2 linked regions of the Arabidopsis thaliana genome follow. The protein of the gene in region 1 interacts with the protein of each later gene in a biochemical or structural test. Each region holds a gene or a part of one and is shown in the gene's direction. Other genes may lie near its edges.

Evidence for each region. Proteins that work in one complex are often made in the same cells at the same time.
Region 2: the proteins of SYP42 (region 1) and VPS45 form a complex in vitro, tested with the Arabidopsis thaliana proteins (one study listed by BioGRID).

Annotation. Positions count from the first base shown.
Region 1 is NC_003075.7:968,354-976,158, reverse strand, and holds SYP42 (syntaxin of plants 42), read left to right. Parts: upstream 1-3,816; 5' UTR 3,817-3,966; coding exon 3,967-4,157; intron 4,158-4,327; coding exon 4,328-4,604; intron 4,605-4,917; coding exon 4,918-5,007; intron 5,008-5,115; coding exon 5,116-5,196; intron 5,197-5,443; coding exon 5,444-5,521; intron 5,522-5,605; coding exon 5,606-5,671; intron 5,672-5,778; coding exon 5,779-5,859; intron 5,860-5,952; coding exon 5,953-6,060; 3' UTR 6,061-6,165; downstream 6,166-7,805. Other genes in the region: AT4G02210 (Myb/SANT-like DNA-binding domain protein), read left to right, coding at 242-571, 653-746, 854-1,272, 1,363-1,839; AT4G02200 (Drought-responsive family protein), read right to left, coding at 1,956-2,073, 2,169-2,401, 2,552-2,629, 2,859-2,900, 2,962-3,095, 3,302-3,383; AT4G02190 (Cysteine/Histidine-rich C1 domain family protein), read right to left, coding at 6,808-7,805. UniProt on the Arabidopsis thaliana protein: Contributes to the regulation of secretory and vacuolar transport pathways in the post-Golgi network, and to the maintenance of the Golgi apparatus and trans-Golgi network (TGN) morphologies.
Region 2 is NC_003070.9:28,980,168-28,989,788, forward strand, and holds VPS45 (vacuolar protein sorting 45), read left to right. Parts: upstream 1-3,766; 5' UTR 3,767-3,995; coding exon 3,996-4,085; intron 4,086-4,221; coding exon 4,222-4,423; intron 4,424-4,517; coding exon 4,518-4,597; intron 4,598-4,874; coding exon 4,875-5,102; intron 5,103-5,229; coding exon 5,230-5,355; intron 5,356-5,465; coding exon 5,466-5,549; intron 5,550-5,619; coding exon 5,620-5,761; intron 5,762-5,865; coding exon 5,866-6,044; intron 6,045-6,261; coding exon 6,262-6,417; intron 6,418-6,655; coding exon 6,656-6,763; intron 6,764-6,848; coding exon 6,849-6,970; intron 6,971-7,091; coding exon 7,092-7,223; intron 7,224-7,453; coding exon 7,454-7,514; 3' UTR 7,515-7,868; downstream 7,869-9,621. Other genes in the region: PGSIP2 (plant glycogenin-like starch initiation protein 2), read right to left, coding at 10-779, 1,009-1,061. UniProt on the Arabidopsis thaliana protein: Involved in the protein transport to the vacuole, probably at the level of vesicle fusion at the trans-Golgi network (TGN) and not in transport from the TGN to the prevacuolar compartment, by promoting the recycling of vacuolar sorting receptors back to the TGN.

The DNA of each region.
Region 1 (7,805 bases):
ATCCCGGACAACCTTATCCTTAAAATCTCACCGGTACTCCAACTCCCGTTCACCGGAGCTCTGACTCTCTGTAAGCGAAGATTCTCTGCTCTTTAGCTAATTTAGTCGAATCTCTATTATGGGTCTGATCCAGTTTCTTACGAGAATCTGATTTCTGATTTTATAACTTGATTTCTCGATTTCAAATTTGTGTTCTTGCAATCGATTTTTTTGCAGGTAAAGAAGAAGGGAGAAATAGATAATGAGCAGTAGAAACGGCAATGAGAGATTAAGAACAGTGTGGACACCTGAAATGGATCAGTATTTCATCGAGCTTATGGTGGAACAAGTTAGAAAAGGCAACAGATTTGAAGATCATTTGTTTAGTAAACGAGCTTGGAAGTTCATGTCTTGTTCCTTCACTGCCAAGTTCAAGTTTCTTTATGGCAAAGATGTTTTGAAAAACAGGCATAAGACATTGAGGAACTTGTTTAAATCTGTGAATAATCTTTTGATAGAAGATGGTTTTAGTTGGGATGATACTAGACAGATGGTTGTTGCTGATAACTGCGTTTGGGATGAGTATCTTAAGGTGCGTTTTGCGTTTTGTTTACTTGTGATTTTGTGTCTTCTTCTCAGGGATTGATTTGTTTTTGCTTTTGGGTTATTGAAGATTCATCCTGATTCGAGATCTTTTCGGATAAAGTCTATACCTTGTTACAAAGATCTGTGCTTGGTTTACTCAGATGGAATGTCTGAGCACAAAGGTACAATCTTTAATCTATTGATTGTTACTTGAATCCTTCATTGTACATTCTTGTCACCAAAGATCAAAGATTCTTAAGTAACCTGTGAATGAATATGTATGTTTCAGCTGAGGAGAGTATTAGTGAGGGAGAATCCAAGACACTGATTCAGGAAGATGATGGGTACAACAGAATATGTGAATCGTCAACAGTCAGGTCTAACTCAAAAGGAAGCAGTGTCACACGGTGCAGGACTACTTGGCATCCTCCAATGGACCGGTATTTCATTGATCTGATGTTGGACCAAGCGAGGAGAGGAAACCAGATTGAAGGTGTTTTCAGGAAACAAGCATGGACTGAGATGGTTAATCTCTTCAATGCGAAATTTGAGTCTAACTTTGATGTTGATGTGTTGAAGAACCGGTATAAGTCTCTGAGAAGACAGTTCAACGCGATCAAGAGTATTCTTCGATCAGATGGGTTTGCTTGGGATAATGAGCGTCAAATGGTTACAGCTGATAATAATGTATGGCAAGACTATATAAAGGTAACTTAATCGCTCTGATCTATGCTGTGTGGTTAGTTACAGTGTTTTCGTCTCTGTTTTGATGTGTGTTCTTGTCTGAATTAATCACAGGCTCATAGAGATGCAAGGCAATTTATGACTCGGCCAATTCCGTACTATAAAGATCTGTGTGTGCTCTGTGGCGATTCTGGGATCGAAGAAAACGAATGCTTTGTAGCTATGGATTGGTTTGACCCTGAAACTGAATTCCAAGAATTTAAGTCCAGTGGTACTACAGATTTGTCTATTTCAGCTGAGGAAGAAGATAGCAACTCTCTTTTGTTTGACCCCAAGAACAAAAGAGATCAACTTGCTAATACTGATACAAGCCCTATAAACCCGAAAAAGCCTCGAGTTGATGAAACCCAAACCATGTCAATAGAGGACACGGTTGAGGCTATTCAAGCGTTACCAGACATGGACGATGAACTTATATTGGATGCTTGTGATCTGCTTGAAGATAAACTCAAGGCGAAAACTTTCTTGGCTCTAGATGTGAAACTACGCAAGAAGTGGTTGTTAAGGAAACTCCGACCTCAAGTGACTTGAGGATTATGAGCTGTAAAGAAGCAAAGTAGAAGTTTGACGATAAACAGAAGCTCATTGGCTTATACTACAGAGTACAGACTACTTTGCGAGAGTTTCATATACAAAGACTTATGCTCTTAGAAGTTGTAAATGTGATCAAATATGGCTGATGATATTAAACCTTGTACAAACTCTCTCTTCTTTGCCTTCTCTAGTAGCTCTGTATCTGACAAGGGAGACGGCGATTCCCAGTCTCTGAGCACACAGAAATACGAAATGTATCTTTAGACAAGGTTTAAGAAGATGAGATAAAGCAAGCAGAATCAAGAAAATGTCAAAGAATTACTTACTTTTCTGTTGAATCCCTTATTAAGCTATTGTCTTCCATGCTTGCTTCACTAGATGAATCAGGTTGTACAAGCTTGGACTTCTTTGGTGACGGCGGATTGTATATAAATGATAATAATGGGTCCAGAACACTTTTAGATGTATGATTAGTAGACAACGGCTCATCGATTAGAGACTGTAAGTATTTCCTAGTCCCTGGAGAAAATGCTGAATATGACTCATCCTTGTAAAGTCTCTGCTTTTGTTCAAGGTAAGTATTCGTCAAGGAACACAAATGTCAGATAACCGATATAAAACATACCAAGATATAGAATAAGCACAAAAAGACTTACAAGTTTTCTACTAAATGGTAACGAAAGCAAGAAGAGTAAATAAAAAAGGATACCTTGAAGACATCTCTATGCTGAGTGGTAATGTGATCAACCATATGCATCTTCACTCGTCTGCTACAAACCGGACATATCTACATCACAACCAAAGCTGAATTTGTGAGAAGTTATTACATTCATCATCACCAAAAGACTGTTTTCATTTCTCACACCAAACACTTCACAACTACAAAATGGTTCCTCATAGCATCAAGCAAATAATCCAAGTGAACTAAAATCCAAGAAGTCCCTACCAACTCTCCTTACAGAATCACAATCCTGCCTACTAAAGTAACCATTAGAGTACAACAATGAACATCACACGATAAATAGTCTAAATTTACAACTAACTGCTTCATGTAAAAACTCAAATGTATAGTTTAAAGAACAGTAACTGATTTGGGAGATGGATACGAGTTGCAATTACCCCATTGTTGGCGTCTAGTTGATGCTCCTCATCGATATGGTGACACAATTCAACTAAATCATAATCATCTGAGCAAAACGGGCATGGATAATCCACTGCCATTTCATCATCATCTTCAAACTCAATACATGAACCTAAACAAAAATTTCACCATCACAAAACTTTTATCAATTACATAACATAAAGTTTACCCATAAAGTGACAAAATTTAAACTCACTAGACCTTAAGGGCCAAAAGAATTGAAATTTGATAAAGAAATTAAAACCACCTGCATATAAAGCATAAACCCTAAAACAAAGCTAAATGCAATTGGGAAAAAGAATGGATCTTTACACTAACCCGACTGATACTTGGCAAGTTCTTCTAATCGATATTTCTTCGACGAATCAAACCCACAAATGCCCAACAAATCTTCTTCCATTTTGATTCTGAATCCACACGAACTTGAATTGAAAAATCTCAGATAATAATTAAAGGAGCATATTCTTCCTCCGTGTATTTATTAGCATCTGTCAGTACTTTGTTCAGCCTGAAAGTGCGAGGAAACACACCAAAAAGGCAAGACCTTTAAATGTGGTCTTTTTCTCTGGCGACATGAGGGAATCCATGGACACGAATCTATTGAGCTAAATCCAATGACCAAACTACCCCTAACCGGTCACTATAGCCTCTTTTACCCTGAACCACCAACGTCCCTCTGTTGACTTTTAGCCGCCACGAATCTACGGGCATTTTCGTCTTTGCGCCACCGTCTTAAAACGTGTGCTCCACACACTTATATTGACCCTATCGCGCAAGTGGACTATAAGCCCAATATATAAATGGGCCTAAAAAGGCCCAAATACTTCTCCTTCGTTGCTAAGTCTGTAACACGCGCTAATGAGAAACGATTTTGCGATTCAGATTCGTTTGCTTTTGCCGACGACAAAAGCTCCGATTTTGTTTATTTTCTCCGGGAAATTTTACTTTCGAGATTCTGTTGAGAATCAATTGATTTGGTATTGATGGCGACGAGGAATCGAACGACGGTGTACCGGAAACACAGGGATGCGTGTAAGAGCGCGCGTGCTCCATTATCTTTATCGGCGTCTGATTCGTTCGGTGGTCCGGTGATCGAAATGGTTAGCGGTTCATTTTCCCGGTCCAATCACTCCTCTTATGCTCCTTTGAATTCCTATGATCCTGGTCCATCAAGGTAATAATATAATGTGTTGTTTGATTCTGCAAAACCTGGGAAATTCTATGAACTTATATATAGAAACGAATTGTAATCATGGGATTGATTTGAGATACAGAATTAGAACCCTAAACGAATTAGGTAACAGAATGAGCAAATGATTTAAGTGTTGTTGTGAATGTTTGCAGTAGTGATGCCTTCACAATTGGTATGCCACCAGCTTGGGTTGATGATTCTGAGGAGATAACTTTTAATATACAAAAGGTGCGAGACAAAATGAATGAACTAGCAAAGGCACATTCAAAGGCTCTTATGCCTACATTTGGAGATAACAAAGGGATTCATCGTGAAGTCGAGATGCTCACTCATGAGATCACAGATTTGTTGAGGAAGTCAGAAAAGAGATTGCAGATGTTATCTACTAGAGGGCCTTCTGAAGAATCAAATCTCAGGAAAAATGTGCAGGTAGGTTGTTGGACACTTTTTCAGAATCGAGCTTGTTAACAATAAAGAATGCATGGTCATTACCTTTTCTTTTGTGCTTTTAGAGAAGAAAGTTAGGAATTTTGGGTTAAATCACTCTCATATGTTTTGACTACCTATCTAGTTGACATTATCAGTCAGCAAAATGTATGAAGTGTTTTTTTTTCCCTCTATATAATGTACTTTGGGTTATTCTATGTTTTGAGTTTGTAGCATGAGGATAAAGTTCTGTGTACATGTATAGTGGGGCTCTCCAATGGACTTGACCTACTTTTTGGCATACTGCTTTTGACAGCGTTCTCTTGCAACAGATCTTCAGAACCTTTCCATGGAGCTCCGCAGAAAACAGTCTACTTACTTAAAACGTCTGCAGCAGCAGAAAGAGGTATGTTTCCTTTATTTTCAAGAAATAAACAAAAAAAGTGTTGATTCTTGAGACATGCATGTACCGTAATATGATGTTCTTATTTGTATTTGGCTTCTCTAATCATAGGGTCAGGATGAAGTAGATTTAGAGTTTAATGTGAATGGAAAGATGTCGAGACTGGATGAAGAGGATGAACTTGGTGGGATGGTAAGTGCTTACTTGTATTGTAAAACTATATATCATTGACAAATTAATAAGGACTTAATATGGTTATCTAGCTAGAGCAATTCAGATTTTTAATCAGTTATCCTTGTCTTCCTTACATTTTTAAGAAACACTTCTTATGGTTATCATGCTAGGACGAGTCAGATTTTTTTTAATCAATCTTCAGAACCTTGTCGTCCTTACTCTGCCAATACCATAATGAGAATCGCTGGTCTTCAATAAATTGTAGGGTTTCGATGAACACCAGACAATCAAGTTGAAGGAAGGGCAACATGTCTCAGCGGAAAGGGAACGAGAGATACAACAGGTAATGGAAGTTGTTACTCGACCATATTTAAGAAGCTGCGTGCTTCACATTTTCGATGGCGATTAACTTCAGAGTTCTGTCTAGGTTCTGGGTTCCGTGAATGACCTTGCACAGATAATGAAAGACTTATCAGCCCTTGTGATTGACCAGGTGCCTAGCTTAGTCATTAAAAGGCTTATGAATTACATAACTGGCTAGATACAAAGTTTTTGCTGGCTTCTCAACAATTAGTTTTCTTATATTCTTGTATCAATTAGGGCACGATTGTTGATCGGATAGACTACAATGTCCAAAACGTTTCTACATCGGTCGAGGAAGGCTATAAACAACTACAAAAGGTTTGATTCTTTACCCAAAACTCATAAGATTTTGTGAGTACTACAGATTTTTCACCGTATGGAACTCACAAAGACATTTCAATTTTTAAATAGGCGGAGAGAACACAAAGAGAAGGAGCAATGGTGAAATGTGCAACTATACTCCTTGTACTCTGTTTGATCATGATTGTTCTTTTAATTCTTAAGAATATTTTGTTTTAGTCATATGCCAACAATTTAGAATGAAAAACAGCTTGTCTTGTTTGTAACAAACAGTAACCCTCTCTTTTTTCTAGTTGAATTCTCTTTTCCAATCGTTTTACCAAATCTGTAGAAGTATTTTGTGTAAACCGTAAATGGTTAAAATCACTATAGTTAAGAAATAAACTGACACTAAACTACCTAGTGGGAAAATGTGATAATCACTACAAGAATCACTAGTCCTCCAAATTCAATAACACATGAAGGAAATCAAGTAATCAACTCATAATGAAAAATTGAAAATGATCTTTTTGTGCAAGGGAGAAAAAAATAAAACAAAAACGAATGCGTTGGCTTCACACACTTTAGATTAGCAAACCTAGACATATAAACTCATAGAGAAACTCGTGACAAGTTGTTTTGAGGCTCATGTTAAACAAAATTTTGTGACACTCGTGCAAGACGATGATCGTCCTCTTGAACTAGAACAATGAGCCGAGAGTACTCCTCTCAGTGCTATGCAAACACAAGCTCTTTGGGTAACTAGGGTTACCTCTTTTTGTTTTTTTATTGATTTTCTTAAAACAAAAGACTGAAGAACAAATACTCGATACAACTCTATTTATACTCAAAGACTCGATTCCTCCTTGGACCAGGATTCAACGGAAAACCTTAACGAAAAATAAAGGAAAAATATTCAAACGACCCTAATAATTTCTTGAACACAGAAAAACGTGTGTGACACACAAAGCCCAAAACTAAACATCATCAGTCTCTCTTTGTAAAACGCTTTATGCAAATATCAGAGCAAAGATAAGAAACTGAGGTTTCAGGTATCTTATAGATGATAGGGTACATGCAATGCGACTTACACTGCCTGCAAAACGGGCGAGATACATTCTTGTTGAGCACAACCTCATATGATCCCGTCTCAGCCTTTACTACGCTTCCTGGCATGAGCCCTGAAAAGTCTCCGACTACACACTCTGTGTGCAAACTAGCCCATTGATCTTTACATGTGTAGAACCATTTCTCTGGATTCATTTTTTTCTCACAAATCTCACACCAATATATACCATTTGCCTTTTCGCCATAGCATAGTAAGAGAGGATAATCGTCAACTCTATGCTTTAACACTCGCGGTAAAGTGGCGCATTTGAAGCATAAGACAAATCCACAACCATCTTCAATGCACCTGAGCATTCTAGTTCCCGACATGTTACAACCATTGCAGACTTCTTCCATCTCTGGTGAAATGTAATATAAGGGATGATCGGGATGACTTGGATGGACAAATGGCTCCAACACTGAACAACATATGACATCTAATTTCATATCCCCATATTGGTAACTGAAACCATTGGAGATTCTACCACAAACATTACACCAAAAGTGACCAGCCTCGCGTGTAAATAAAGTAAGCCGTTCATTGTGTAGCACATGTCGTTTCCTTTTAGGAAATTTAGCACAGTTTTGGTGAAGAATGAAGTCACAATCCATACAACCATAGAAGGATTCGAGGCAAACGGAATGGGTGCATGCGCTGCACCGCTTGTTTTCATCACATAAAACACCATTGTCGTCGAGTTTTAGGTAATGCTCTTCGTGGCTGAAATGTTGTATTGTGTTGTCATCTATTACCACATACGGCTCTATATCTTCTGTTTCTTCAATAACTCCTTCGAGTTCTTTCCCGTTCCACACATCTTTTCTTGTAGCACATTTGGAATGAACGACATAGTTAGAACACCTTTGACAAGAATAAC
Region 2 (9,621 bases), on another chromosome or scaffold:
GCTACTAACCTTTAGCTTGAAGAGGAACAGAAAGTTCACAGGAACCAACAGGAAGCTGTAACTTTTGTCTTAGCTGGTGAAGATTAGGCTTATACAGCCATATGTTTCCTTGACGGGCAACAAGTTCTTGACCCGTAAAAAGATTCGGTATTGGAAAGCAATCAGATACCAAAATCACATGAACATTATGAAGTCCTTTAGAAGAAGCCGCCACTCGAGCTGCTGCAAGTTGTAAATGCAAGCGAGCCACATCTCTAGACCATTTTCCTGATTTATCACACGGAAGCTTGGCAATTACAAGATCAATCCGAGGCTTGCCAGGAATTTGAATCAAAGGCAGAGAAGGACAAGTAGGGACTTCGAATTCTTCAACTTCATCAATCCATTCCGGGTATAAAGATTCCCATGTTATGTTCTTTGCAGCATAATCTAGATGCAAAGCTACATGATCACAGTCAGATTTCGTTACCTCCTTGAATCGATCAATCTCGTTATCGTTAAGATTTATAAGACCAATTCCTTGATACTCGCTTCTACCAAATACGTGCTTCTCAACAAGATTTGACATATGGTTCCAGTTGATCTCAGCTGTAGCTACATAGCGAGGATCAGTAGTAAGACCAAAACTAGTTGGAATTTCAGGAATTTGTAGCGGTGGATAACGAAAACGGTAGATCGTGAACAAAGCTCCAAGCATTATACAAATCAACACAAGTTTCAGAGTGTTGAACTTGACACCCTTCTCAATTCTTTGAAATCTCCTCCTACTTGTCTTCTCACTACACACAACAAAACAAACGAATGAGTCATTATCTATGTCAATCCAACAGATAGATAAACATAGATCGCTTGTGAAACACATTTCTGAATCAAAAACAAAATCGAAGATCTGATTTCCAGAAAAGTCAACCATGTGTGTGAAGCTACTAAGTTAACTAAGAATAGTACGTAGTGTTCATGAAACTAGAGAAACTAATGAAGAATAAGAAGAAGAAGACGAAGACTAACTTTGAGAACGAGAGTCGATGTCTTGACTCCATGGGACTTGAGGAAGGTATCATCGTCTCCGTAAGACCAGGGTCGGTTTCGAGAATTTCATAATCGCCTGGTAAACAACAAAAGACGAGACATTTTAGGGATTTGGGAAGGAGAAATTAATTTGATTTTGGACCAAGGCACAAAACGGTGCGTATTAGGAAAATGAGATTTTTAGAAGTCCGTGTTTTGCAAAACGAACCTTTACTTATCAGGTATTTGTTATTTTAACCCCTACTCTAATGTTTGAATAAATTTTAACCAGAAAACGAAAATCACACACAGTAGTACGGTTTTACGCGGTGGAGGAAGAATCAGCAGCGACGGTGGAGTTGGTCTGAGTCTCACCCCAATGCCAAAGCATACTCTCCCAGAAACAGAAATCTTCAAAACAAGTCGTAAGTCTCTTATCTTTGATCTTAATCCTCCAATGTCCGTCTCTGTAATTCGCTTTCTCAGCTTGTCTCCGATCCCACTCAAGTTGCGCCTTTTGTTTCGAACTCAGTAGACAAAACCTCTGCAATTTCTTAGGCATCGCGTCGTGCACTCTCCACCAAGTTTTGTGTGCTTCATCGCTCGCGAATTGATGGTATCCAACGACATTCCAATTGCAATCGTAGTCTCTGAAGCATACCCATGGTTTGTTGTAACCTAGGTAATGAAGAACGTAGAGTATCGGAGGATCAGCTCCAAATAGTCTCGTCTTAGATTTCCTGTGCTTAGGTGTGTCTCCTTCCCAGAAATGCTTCAAGAAATTCATGTGTTTTGGAATCCGATGCCACCATGTGAATATCTCGTTAAGGTAACCTTGGTCTCCTCCATTGTAGGAATTGATATCGTTGATGTGATCCATTAGTAACTGGAATGTTGAATTTGATGGTTCAATCACCATTAGACCGGAGTTGAAGAGCGTACCGTCGTTTCCAGTTGTGGAGATTTCGGGGTACTCGAAGAGGAAATCCATGTTTCTGAGGATAAGCATGTCTGCATCAATGAAGATGATCTTGTTGTATTCTGTCAATTCCCAAAGACGGAATTTGCTGTAGTTCCATTGGTTATATGCATTTGCTTCAGCTTTCGGGTTTCTGATTCTTTGAAATGTGTGAATCTTCCATCCAGCTGATTCCAAGCCACTTCTATGGTATTCACTGATCGAATCATCGACTAGTATTACCAAATTGCGAGTAGAGCCTGACATTCGAATGCTCTGTGCTACTGCAATGGCTCCACAGACAAAAGCATCATCTGAGTGCAAGATCGTCGCGTACGCTTCTTTCTTGGCATTTGCCGAGTAGAAATTATCTGCAATTGAATCATAATCAGCTTAGGAGGAGAGAATAGAGATGTCAAATTTAGCTGATACAAAAGACGAAGAAACTTACTACTGAGTCACTGACCTTTAGCTTGAAGAGGAACAGAAAGTTCACAGGAACCAACAGGAAGTTGTAACTTTTGTCTTAACTGGTGAAGTTTAGGCTTATACAGCCATATGTTTCCTTGACGGGCAACAAGTTCTTGACCCGTAAAAAGATTCGGTATTGGAAAGCAATCTGATACCAAAATCACATGAACATCATGAAGCCCTTCAGAAGATGCCGCCACTCGAGCTGCTGCAAGTTGTAAGTGCAATCTAGCCACATCTCTTGACCATTTTCCTGACTTGTTACATGGGAGCTTGGCAATGATAAGATCGATTCGAGACTTGTCAGGAACTTGAATCCAAGGAAGAGAAGGACAAGTGGGGACTTTGAATTTTTCTTCCTCGTCAATCCATTCCGGGTATAAAGATTTCCAAGTTATGTTACTTGCAGCATGGTCTAGATGCAAAGCTATATGCTGACAGTGAGATTTTATGACCACCTGCCATCGATTAATCTCGTTATCGTTGAGATTTAGAAAGCCAATTCCTTGATACTCGCTTCTGCCAGATAAGTAATGCTCAACAACAAGTGACATACTGTTCCAGTTGATCTCAGATGTAGCTATATAGCGAGGATCTGTGGTTACAGCAGGTTCTAGTATCCATTTGTTTGCAAAACTTGATGGATCTTCAGGAATTTGCAACGGTGGAGAACAGTAGAGTGTGAACATAGCAACCAGCATCATAAGAAACAAAACAAGTTTCAGACTAGAGAAGTTGACACACATTTCAACATCGAGAGTGTATCCGTTTCTTTGGAATCTCTTCGTTTTTGTTTTCTCACTATATATGTAAAACAAATGCACTATGTCAAGCCAACAGATGAATACAGATCTCTGTAATGCACATACTCAACCACATTGCTCTCATGATCTATGATCCTATCTGATTCCCCTAAGTTAGGTAAAGTAGTTTCCATTGAACTCAAGAAACTGATGAAGTAGAAGAGAAAAAGACTTACCTGGAAATGTAAAGTCGATGACTTGACTGACTTGACGGCGCCATGGGACTTTCAGAAGAGAGCTTCATTCTCACTGTAAGAATATTAAGTTTGACTTTCCTGAGTGAGAGACTACATGAAGCTGGATGCATCGAGCATTACAATAATCACACGTTTTTGACGCTAATCCAAATTATATTATATTAGCGGACGGATCGGAACAAAATCAACACGATGGGTCAATGTTAAGTTTGAATTTTTTTGCGGAAAAATCCTGATCTATTAGATGTTTCCTTTGTAAAACCCTGATGTTTTATTACTTAATAAATAAACCCTCAAATTAGGTTCAGTTAATCAAAAATTAAGTTTGTGTTGAAAAGAGGAATAACCAATAAAATATAGGGTTTGTTTTGCAAAAACACTTTTCTTCGTATGAGTCGACGAGTCTGGGGACCTTTTAGTTTTCTCGATTAAGGAAAGGAAGATCTGAAAGTGAACGCGAAATCACTTCGCCAGCGTTATTGTTAACAAGAATCATCAGATTAGTCGCCGTAGATCTGAATCAACGTCGTAACAGTAGCAGAATTTTGCGGTGAAACGATGGTTTTGGTTACGTCTGTGCGTGATTACATTAACCGGATGCTTCAGGACATCTCCGGCATGAAGGTTCTCATACTCGACTCCGAAACGGTAAAGTCCGATCTCGTCTTCTTCGATTGCTAATCTTCTCTGATTTGTTTCTGGAATCGTGGTTCATAATTTCCCTTGTAACCGGAAACACATCTTCGTGATTACTTGTTTATTGGATTAATTGTTGAATTTGCAGGTTAGCAATGTAAGCATTGTGTATTCACAGTCAGAGCTGCTTCAGAAAGAAGTGTTTCTGGTGGAGATGATAGATTCAATATCTGTGTCAAAAGAATCGATGTCACATCTGAAAGCTGTTTATTTCATCCGTCCAACTTCAGATAATATTCAGAAATTACGATACCAGCTTGCGAATCCTAGATTTGGAGAATACCATTTATGTATGATTTTTTCATCTTCTAACTATTTCGAGTTTATCATTGTTCACTCACAATATACAAAATTTGATGTTGTTTTTGTTATGAATTCTTTCAGTTTTCTCCAATCTGTTGAAGGATACTCAGATTCATATTTTGGCTGATTCCGATGAGCAGGAAGTTGTACAGCAAGTTCAGGTGATTTTTAGACTTCCCTCATCCATGATGTTTTTGAATAGGAGGCTAATGCTAAAAGAATGTTTCATAGCCTATATGATGGATCAATATATGTATAGATTTTTAGCTGTCTCTGAGAAGTTGCTTGGTTTGTGATGAAACGGCCATACTTGTGGAGCTTAGTATCCCCCCTACCTGTCTTTAGTTTTCTGATTTAAACTTATATTGCTTGGTGCACTCGGCATAGTACTGTATAATGGCTTGTTTAACATAGTCTTTGTGGTTTTTTATATTGCAGGAGTATTATGCAGACTTTGTTTCTGGTGATCCATATCATTTCACATTGAATATGGCATCAAATCATCTATATATGATCCCCGCAGTTGTCGATCCCTCTGGTTTGCAACGCTTTTCCGATCGGGTTGTTGATGGAATTGCGGCAGTGTTTCTGGCGTTGAAACGAAGACCTGTCATCAGATATCAGAGGACCTCTGATACTGCAAAAAGGATTGCACACGAAACAGCTGTAAGTGAAGTTGTTTGACAAGCTCTCGTAAAGTTATTTGTTCCCGCTATATTTTGCATGCATGTGATGGAACTAATTCCCACTTGTGTCTATCCAATAGTCTGAAAATTCGCTGTTTATGTTTCAGAAATTGATGTATCAGCATGAAAGCGCTCTTTTTGACTTTAGACGGACTGAAAGCTCTCCGTTGCTACTTGTAATTGACAGAAGAGATGACCCGGTTACCCCATTGCTGAATCAGTGGACATATCAGGTAACTTGACTAAACAAAATTATTGTGCTACTCTATGATATAAGATGTGCCTCCCGCTGTCTTGCTTTTTTGTAAGACTACGACTTACTAATTAACGAGATTTTCTGTAGGCAATGGTGCACGAACTCATAGGACTTCAAGATAATAAAGTGGACTTGAAATCCATTGGAAGTCTTCCAAAAGATCAGCAAGTGGTTAGTTTTCTCCAATGCCATTGTTTTTTAGTTGAGAACCTTACAGCTAATATGTCTCTTATCCTGGCAGGAGGTGGTTTTATCATCAGAACAAGATGCATTTTTCAAATCTAACATGTATGAAAATTTTGGGGATATTGGAATGAACATCAAGCGAATGGTAGATGACTTTCAGCAGGTGGCCAAGAGTAACCAAAATATCCAGACAGTAGGTACAAATATGGCTAGTCTTAAACTATTCTCTGCAAAAACTTTTGTAACAACAGATTCTCGTGCTAGTGACAATTATATATCTGTGAATTCGTTGGTTGTACAGAGGATATGGCCAGATTTGTTGACAACTACCCTGAGTACAAAAAGATGCAAGGCAACGTTTCAAAGCATGTAACTCTGGTTACTGAAATGAGCAAGCTAGTTGAAGCAAGGAAACTGATGACGGTTTCACAAACAGAGCAGGACTTGGCTTGCAATGGTGGCCAAGGAGCTGCATATGAGGTAGTGAATATCTGTGGTGAACATTCACTTGTAGTCGCATATATTAAAAAATAGCTACAACCTGCAGAAGTTCTTACTGAATAATTTGGCATTCAATAATTTGGAGTCTCATGCGAATGTAATCCAGTGAACCTGCAGAAGTTAGCGAAATATGCAAAATTGTGCAGACTCTGCTGTAAGCACGGAGCTCTGACTCTCTATTCATGCTTATTTGCAGGCAGTTACGGATCTCTTAAATAATGAAAGTGTGTCTGACATCGACCGGCTGCGTTTGGTAATGCTATATGCTTTGCGCTATGAGAAAGAAAATCCTGTTCAGTTGATGCAATTGTTCAACAAATTGGCTTCACGGTCTCCCAAGTACAAACCAGGGGTACAGTCAGACTATCATCTGTTTCCTTTCAGTTTAAATTGCATCTCTTTCTTGTGGCTTTATTATTCTGCATCTCTTTTAAGGTTGATTTTGATCTGTCCCTCTGCTACTACTATACTTGTTAACCTATCTGCAATTCCGTCCATAGTAGTTTTACCTTTTCGTTTTTATTTTTGAATAACTTGATAAAAGTACCCTCAAATCATGTTATAACTTTCTGGTTGCCATGCAACTGCAGCTAGTTCAATTTCTCTTGAAACAAGCCGGTGTGGAGAAGCGCACTGGTGATCTATTTGGAAACAGAGATCTTTTGAATATAGCACGTAACATGGCTCGTGGACTTAAGGTCTGTATCTGAGTTAACTCGTCTCCAGCAACATTCTATATCTCCCTATATATATGTCATGTTACTGACATCTTGAAAAATACAGGGTGTTGAGAATGTCTACACTCAACATCAGCCTCTTCTGTTTCAAACAATGGAGAGCATAACTAGAGGGAGATTACGAGATGTGGATTACCCATTTGTTGGAGATCATTTTCAACAGGGACGGTATGTGCCTCTAATTTTTTCAATTTCTTAAAACAGGTAACTTGTTTGATAGTTACAGATTTCTGCAATTCGTGAAAACTTACATAACTAATCAAAAACTGCAAAATTTCTGGATAAACAGGCCACAAGAGGTGGTTATTTTTATGGTTGGTGGAACAACATACGAGGAATCACGCTCTGTTGCTCTACAGAATGCCACCAACTCCGGGGTTCGGTTTATTCTCGGCGGCACCGCAGTGCTTAATTCCAAGAGGTAATGCTGAGGTTAAGACAGTGTGTGCAAATGAGCCTCGATTGGTTTTGAGTTCTAGGTCGAAACAGCACTGATCAACTAAAATATCAACATTGGTTAAGTCATAGAAGGCCCAAACCGAAATTGCTGTTTGAATTAAATAATAACTAGGAATCTAAATTGGTCTACAAAGTTCATGAAAGTGTATTATAAGAGAAATGTAAGCTGAAAAGTGAATTTGGTTGTGACAGATTTCTAAAGGACTTGGAAGAAGCACAAAGGATATCAAGATCAGGTAGCCATATGGTGTGAAGAAGATCCAAAAGAATTTTGTGTAAATTATTTTTTAAGTCTTAAGATTCTTCCGGGGAGCACATAGAAGAAAGAGACAAATGAAAGAAGAAGATTGTGGTCAGGTTCGTCGAATCTTTCGTATACATGATGATGATTACCCCACCAGAGATTTAATTTTTGGGGTTTGTGTGTGTATTCATCGTGGTACAGTTTAATTGGACCGTTCTTCTTACACAATTATGGCTAATCAAGAAAATGTAACCTGAGGAAATTTTACTCCTCTATCATAATTGCACAAAACAGAATTAATAATCTTTTTCAAAATTATAATAACACTTTAGACAAAAACCAGAGAGATTTCATAACAAAAAATCTTTATTACTCTTAAAAAACAAAATCATATGTGGAATTTTTGAAATATTACTAGTTTACTACTCCCTTTTATAATAATGAATAAAATCACTTTTATAATAGTAAATTAGTAATGAGTAAAATCTGACTGACGTCAATCAAAAGTAAGTACCGATTTGGGAAAGAGAACAATCAAAGAGAAAACATAAAAACAGAGCTCTTTTGAGTATATATGGAGTATCTTATGTAGCTCGGCTACTGTCGCCGTTGGATTTCTCAAATGTCGTAATATGATGTGAGAGCGAAGCTGACACAACTCTCTGTCTCTGCTCTGGAAGCATTTTTACTTGTTGTTCTTTCACACATACACACTTCACAGAAACCCTCCATTACAACATAATAGTATATATTTACTATACATTCCAAAAAAATCATTAGGTTTACTTTTACATCCAAATTTCATACTTTTAACAAAGCGATTATGTGCAATTTAATCCTCTATCAAGTTGGATTTTGAGGGGTTAAAATTGTTTGAAGTCAACTAGCAAAAGTCTCATTCTTGAGAAATATTCGTCTTGCGGTAATTTTTGCTATAGTTTTATTAAAACGTCAAATCAGTAATAAAAACAATTAAAGAATTGAGGAGCTCGAGAAAAGTTCTTCACATACATCTCTTTCTTTCTGCTTAGCTCTTAAGCAGTCTCTGACTGTCCATTTCATATCAAATTTTAAAACTATTGACTATACTAGATCCTTCTCTGTTTCTTCGATCCCTTCATCTAAATTGTCTCCTCTCTTTATTTATTATTTATTCAATTCGATTACGTATATAATTTTTAAGTTAACTAGATAATGCATAATTTCTTAGTTAATTAGTTATCTGACTTTTTGAATTTTGATTACTGTGTGCTTAGCCGAAGTTTCTAGCAAACTACCACGGATTTAAATTCGAAAGAATAAAGCGTGACGAAATAGATAAGACAAAAAAGAAGAAGGAGAGATTACTTATCAAAGTACATATGGTTGAAAGTGATGGTTTGGTTATTAATTAATTACAGTTTTAACTTTAGATATTTTGTCTGTGGTCTTATATATACACCTCATCGTTCTTATCATATGATTCTGATTTTAGATATTCGTAAGAAAATTACCAATTGGTTACATTTTCAACAACGAATGCAAATATGCAATTCATGCTAAATTGGAAAATTTGTCATCCCAACTTTCATGAAAAGTCAGTGCTGGAGGGTTTTAGAGGTTGAGCATTTAAATCAAATTCTTTTGATTTCTGAAAGAAAAATTTACTACAAAAAAAAAGGAAGTTTAACTTTTTAAGAAAATATTGAATGTTTTTCACTGATCTAATTATAGTGAATCTAATATATCACTTTTACTTTTCATGAATTATGTTAATTTGTAATTTTGTATATTCAGTAACATTCATGTTACTTATAAAAAAGGTTCATTATACACTATTATATTATATTCAAATCAGTTTTTTGTAACGTTATAACCGTTTTTTTTTTAAACACTCTTTTTTTGTCGCTAAAAAAACACTCTACATAAGAGTCTCTAGTACTAAAATTTCGATTATTCGACTATTAAATTCTGTCGTTTTAGTTTTCAACTCACATGTTAATTAAACTCTCTATGTTGTTCTTTTAGAAAATGTTGTTCTACAATTCATCTAAATCTTTAGGACTACAATACATGTCAACCTTAAACCAAAATATAACCATGGTCCATATATAGGAGATAAACATTCAAAATGAAT